Drosophila melanogaster: one gene and its partner. Changing the gene in region 1 together with any one later gene gives a genetic interaction. Each region holds a gene or a part of one and is shown on either strand. Other genes may lie near its edges.

What was found.
Region 2: of plu (region 1) and gnu, changing one suppresses a phenotype caused by changing the other (phenotypic suppression), as found in Drosophila melanogaster (one study listed by BioGRID).

The regions. Positions count from the first base shown.
Region 1 is NT_033778.4:20,262,205-20,265,483, forward strand, and holds plu (plutonium), read right to left. Parts: upstream 1,481-3,279; 5' UTR 1,458-1,480; coding exon 1,442-1,457; intron 1,385-1,441; coding exon 980-1,384; intron 926-979; coding exon 822-925; 3' UTR 754-821; downstream 1-753. Other genes in the region: PCNA (proliferating cell nuclear antigen), read right to left, coding at 1-349, 410-517; RpS18 (ribosomal protein S18), read left to right, coding at 1,904-1,906, 2,043-2,228, 2,289-2,558; CG8908 (uncharacterized protein), read left to right, coding at 2,728-2,954, 3,019-3,279. UniProt on the Drosophila melanogaster protein: Inhibits DNA replication early in developments. May bind and block the action of a replication or initiation factor.
Region 2 is NT_037436.4:14,801,644-14,804,966, forward strand, and holds gnu (giant nuclei), read right to left. Parts: upstream 1,718-3,323; 5' UTR 1,617-1,717; coding exon 1,589-1,616; intron 1,531-1,588; coding exon 836-1,530; 3' UTR 737-835; downstream 1-736. Other genes in the region: NHP2, read right to left, coding at 1-136, 197-447.

The DNA of each region.
Region 1 (3,279 bases):
GCGCCAGATCGCGGCAGATGCGAGCGAACTCCATGGCCGGCATGCGGACCACGCACGAGAAGTCTGTCTCCGGTATGCCCAGGTGCTCCTGGTCGAGGTTCATCAGTTTCATCTCGTAGTCCGATACCTTCTCCTGGTTAGCCGATTCGAACATGATGGTGACAGTGTCGGCGTTATCCTGCGCCTTCATCGTCACATTGTCCTCGTTGTTGGCGCATTTCAGAATCTTGGCCATGCTGCCCAGATTCATGCCCATGGAGAGATTGCGGTCGCAGCGAAACTTGTCGAAGCCATCGGAACGCAGGGTCAGCGAGACAAGCGACACATGGGAGTTGTCCATGGCCTGTAGCTGTAAGTTGAACAAGGTGTTAGGGATATGCATTTAAAATCTTTTTTGTGCAATTTTTACCTGAATGCCGGAGTCGCTGCAATCGAAGGTTGCCTCATTGAGCAGATCCTTGATGGCATCCAAGATCTTCTTCAGGATGGTGGCTTGACCCAGGCGTGCCTCGAACATATTGAATGTGTTTTATTATTTAAATACTGATGACGGGCTTAAGAATTTAACAGCAGTAATGTTACCGCGGCTGTGACTTTGGGATGAATGATTAACGTGGGCTGTTTTTTTTTTTTACTTTCAGGCGGGCTAAATGAGCGGGATAGGGATGTGAAAAGCCACGGGCGATATCGACTGAATCTATCGATAGCAGCCAGCGAGCGGCCTGCCAACTGGTTTGATTAACATATTATGTTCACACTTTTTACAGAGTATATTTATTTCAAACATTAAAATTAATAAATTATTACAAAATGACAATACATTAACGCAGACGATTGCTAATAAAAGTGGGAGGAGAGCGCACATTGCGCTTATCTAAGCGGCCTGCAGCTTTAATCATTCCTCGCAGCTCTGCAACTCCCAGACCTGAAATAAATTTACTTTAATGTTACTATATAAATACACTTGATTTTTACTAACCATGCACTGTTTGAGTTTCTTGCACGCCCCTCGAATCCAATTGAGTAAAATAGGCCACCAAAGCGGAGTGTTTTTGCAGTGTAGCCACACAGAGGGCCGGGATCATCGAGGACAGATTGAAATCCTTGTAGGATCTTCGCCTCAACAGTTCCTTTACTAAAGTCAAATGCCCAGCATAAGTGGCCAGTGTCAGGGCATTTTGACCAAAATAGTTCATAGCAAAGATATTTGCACCGAATTCCAGCAGCGTACGAGCGCACTCAAATCGACCCAAATAGCAGGCCTTCAATAGGGCGGTATTCCCGTACATGTCCACATCCTCGAGGTTGTGCTGCTTGCCGTCGCGAGCCATGGTGCACACGATGCGCAGGGAAACGACATCGTCCTGTCCAACGCAGCTGAGTGCTTAAATGCAATGCATTTTTATCAATATTGGAAATTCGCATAGCTAATATAATTTACCATTTATTTCACCCATTCTGAAAAGCTTTCATATAACGGTGCTCTAGGGATGCAGTACGATAAAACGTATTACGAAATGTGGGGAATAAAATATAAAATATAAAGAAACATAAAATATGAAGTTTAATTTTTTAAATGTGCACACAGAGCATATCTAAATGGCACTTTAAGCATTTTCATTGAACAAAAGTTCGGCGCCTTTTGAATTTTTAAATTTGCATTAGTGATGGACCAGAGTGCGCCTAACAGCACACGGCGAACTATTAACAGCACGCGTCCCGAACGTGGCAGGCAATTTTAGGTTTTTTACTCCGCCTCAGGCAGCCACATTAATTCGGCCTTCTTTTCTTTTCCCGTTTCCGGTGAGTGGTGTGCTGCCCATTTGATTTTTCCAAAATTCTAAAACAAAATACCTCTTAATTCTTTACAGTGAGGAGTAAATACGAGAATACAAACGGCAAAATGGTGAGTTACCTCAAATATGTGCGATTCTGAGCGCCAAACGACAAATTTATAGTGAATTGCAAATGCCGTTAGCTGTTGGCAAAAATGGCGTGGTTTATATGCATTATACTAATGTTTTTTCTTTGCATTCTTGCAGTCGCTCGTCATCCCAGAGAAGTTCCAGCACATCCTGCGTATCATGAATACGAACATCGACGGCAAGCGCAAGGTTGGCATCGCCATGACCGCCATCAAGGGAGTGGGTCGCCGCTACTCCAACATTGTGCTGAAGAAGGCCGATGTCGATCTTACCAAGCGCGCCGGTGAGTGCACCGAGGAGGAGGTAAGTTGAGCACGCCCAATCCGTTCGAGACGCACACCAACCTAAATGCCATGTTTGCAGGTCGACAAGGTGGTGACCATCATCTCGAACCCTCTGCAGTACAAGGTGCCCAACTGGTTCCTCAACAGGCAGAAGGACATCATCGATGGCAAGTACTGGCAGCTGACCTCCTCCAACTTGGACTCGAAGCTGCGTGACGATCTGGAGCGTCTGAAGAAGATCCGCTCCCACCGTGGTCTGCGTCACTACTGGGGCCTCCGTGTGCGTGGCCAGCACACCAAGACCACCGGTCGTCGTGGTCGCACCGTGGGTGTGTCCAAGAAGAAGTAAGCTTAGCAGCGTTCCCTGCCGGAACGGATTTCCGATTCGACTTTAATTTTCACATCAACCACAAAATAAAAGAAAACACGGAAGCCGGAACGTTTTAGTGCGGAGTATACGTGAAGTTTGTTATATTTCTAATCTGTTTACGTGTTGGCGTCATCTAAATTGTACGAATATGTCCAGTGGTGAATCGCCGGTGAAGACGCAGAGCAGCATATGCCTGCTGTGGCTGGTCATATGCAAGACGGCCCGCTTCCAGTTCTCCAATACGCTAACCAGCGTGATCATCATTGTGGGGCCCATCGTAGTCTTCCTCGTTTATGCGGCGACGGCTTTGTTCCGAGAGCCGCAAGAGGAGACGTCGGTGAAGTACCCGCCCGTCAACATCACAACCAAAGTGCCGTATGTATAAGCCGATTGCCACAATAGTCCAGGCCACCCTGACAACACCACATGAACCAACCAGGTACATTTACTACTCACCTGAGAATCTAGTCTTGGCTGCTGTCATCGAGGATGTGGTTCACGATCTGAAGGCCGTTGGCAGTAAGGCCTTTGCCAGCGCATCTGAATTGAATAAAGCGCTGATAGGAAAGGATACATATGGCTACGTGGGCATTGAGTTTGATGACAGCTTCAGCGACATAAATGAGCTTCCGATTAATGTCACGGTGGGCCTGCGTTTTCCGCTTCACCTACGCAAGAATCCCAAGATGGTTTGGGACAA
Region 2 (3,323 bases), on another chromosome or scaffold:
GCGCTTCACGCCCATGGCAGCTCCAAGATCCGCTCGACTGGGGGTGTAGGTATAGGGGATGCCCTTCTCCTCGCAGACGGCTGGTAAGTGGCACATGATGTCCACAGGTGTAACGTCGCCAGCAAAGATGCAAATGCTGGAGAAGATGTGGGTATATTTCTTGTTGTCTTGCAGTCACGGATCACGCAGCACTTACCCAGTTTCGCCCTTGCGCAGGCGAGTCTGTACATCCTTAAGTCCATTTCGCAGGAAAGTCTTGTGCTTCATGGCCTTCTTCACCAGTTTGTAGCACTTTTTGGCCAGTTTTTTACCTGCCATCGGTTTCGCGATGGCGTTCACAAAGATCAGCTTGTCGTCGTAGGACTCCTCCTCCTTGATGGTAACATCGCCGCTGGCCACAACGGACTCATCGGCATCCTCGGAGCGCTCTACTTTCACTTTGCCCATTGCTTTTTTGATAAAAACGTGGATATTTTGTTTAAACGGCTTTTTGTTCGAAACACGTGTTCAGTGTGACCGCGGATCGACTTTTGAAGCATACTAGCGTGCCGCAAAAATATACTAAAATAAATACCGTTCAGACATGGATTAATGCGACTTACTCTATGGTTTGTGACTTTACTAATGTTTTTAGCTAAGTTCATACACTGAGAAAAATTATTACTTAATGTTAAATGAATATTAAATTAAAAATAGAGTTCCAATCCCAAGCCCCAATCACCGCGCAAAAATACTTCAAGACCACATTAAACATTTATTAAAATCTCACATACAAATTCAAATCCACATGACATAAAACAGTTTAAAATTAGCAGAAATCCTACAGGATATAAAATCAGAAGAATTGCTTGGCCAGTTGGATAATATTCATGGCCAATCGGATCTCCCGGGCGCCGCGAACGCCCAGTGCCGCCAAGTCCTCCAGGGTCATTTGGATGAGCACCTCGATGTCGATCTCCTGGCGCGTGAACAGCTCTGTGAGATGCGCGTTTCCGGTGCGATCGAGCAGGGATTTGACCCGAGGACTCAAAGTGGGGTGCTCCACCGGGGAGCAGGGCTTATAGCGTGAATGATGGATACTGGGAGTGGGACTTCTTGGGTCCTCCACTTTAATCTTTCGCGCACTTTTCAACTTGGATTCCTCCTGCCTCAGCCGCGTTTCCTGCTGCAGTCGGATATCCGGCTTTGGTCTGTCTTCTCTCTTAGTTCTCAGTAGTTTCGAATCTCCAGATTCTCCCAGTAGCCTGGTCTCCCCATTTATAAGGGTACTTTGACTTGTGGGCGAAAATACGGAACGCGTGCGCATAAATTTCTGTGAAAATCGACGGGGCAAAGTGGATTCCGATAGTCGTTTTAACCCGGACAATGCCGGTCGACTGTTAGGAACCGTAAGATTATTGTTCTTCGGCATTCCAAAGAGTCCGTATCTCGCGGTACCCTTCCTGCCAACGCCTCCAGTGGGCGTGACATCTTCGAATGTAAAAGCTTCGGTGGAGAGGGGAGTGAGTGGGGTCAGTGGGGATGCGGGATCTATTGAAAGTTAAAGGATATATTTTAAACTTGTTTACAAAAGTATTAGCAATACTACCTCTATAGACGCGATTGTAGCGCTCCATTCGGTAATTTTACAAATAATATTTTCCACGAGCACAAAAAAGACGACAAAAAAAAACGTGCAATAAGATTTGCAAAATGCAACTAACTGTAATTAACTGCTTTTTTAATGCGACCGCATTAAGAGCGGTTAAAATTACCGAAAATTCTGTGATCAGGCAACTCATAAAATCCTAGTCATAGAACCATGATCAGTGCTGAAAAACGATCCTTAAAAATAGATCATATAATGAGTTTTTAAGATCTAAATTACAATATGTATATTTCTTTTCAAGAAAATAAATTTCAACAACAGTCACAACTATCACAAAGTGCTTAAAAATATGATATAAGAATTATGCCTAATAACTAATTGTAAACTACAATAGTAAAAATAATTCATAAAAAACTCGAGAGTTTAGAAACTATATAAAAATGTGTTTTGTTTCTGTTAAGGTTTTTGTGCCTGTTTATAATTGATTAAGAATAAACGTTAATCTGGCACATTAGAATATTCATATCCATGTTTTTTTGCTATTGTTAAATCTCTGACTTTACCCTCGTGATTTGGGTGAAATAAATAAATTAGAATAAAAGTTCAAGGAACTCGCCACGCATTAATATTTACCATTTCACATGTCTAAGTACCAAATATCGTTTTTATACCGTCTACATAATATTATTTTGCTTCTAATTAAAGCGAGTTTGTCCAGTTTTTCAGTCGTTACTTTTGCGGTGCGATTTGATTTGATTTGCTTCGGTTTTTGCGTCGAAGTTTTTGCGACAAATCTTTTTTTTGCGAATTGGCAGTCAACAGATGAACCGATAAAATGTAAACAATTGTTGCACAAAACGTGCAAATTAATTTAACGAAAATAATCAATTAAGTTAATTTAATGACGCCGAAAATTCACAATTCTTGCGTGCAATAATGACAATATTCATAAAGAGCACTTGGAGTAAAAATTGACAATTTTTTTTATGAAAATGCCTAACCATAAAACATAAAAAATTTTACATTTTGTTATAAAATTTGCACAGTAATTTATTACTTCAATAGTCGTTTGCTGTGCAAATTAATGTATTTATTGAAAAATACTTTTTCATGTCATCTGATAATCATTTAAACATATATTAATTGTTTCGCTATGCATGAAAAAGAAAATATTACAGCTAAATACTAATTTAAACAAATTAATAGTTAGGAAACTGTAATATTGTATTGGTTATGCTCTAAAATATAAATACATTTTATTTTTGTCAAATGCTTAGCGTGCACTTCTTACTATATAATATATTTTTTTTATGAAACCTTAAGTAAGGCTTACTTACTAAAGATTCGGAACCATTTTCAAAACCAGTGACTTCAGATAAATAGATATCTATATTTATCTATGTATGTAAAGATATATTATTTTGTGTACTGTGAAATCATGACATTGCCACCTGTTAAAGCCCCACAGATATTTTGGCGCTGCTGCTGCTGTTGTTTGGGTTTTAGGCGCTTACCTTGCTTTATTTGGTTTTTCGTGGGCAAGAACAACATGGAATTATTGTCTTTGCGCAGTCGGCAATGCCGAAGCTTTGCAAACCCCCCACCCCCCCTGGCGACCAATAAACTCCCCCCTTTCGGCTAAGTTGGCCACATGTGGGGCTTGTTGTTGCCGGCTTTTGGCTAAGAAACAGCTGAGCTCGGCCAGCTGCTTTGTGTTTATATTTTTTTCACGAGC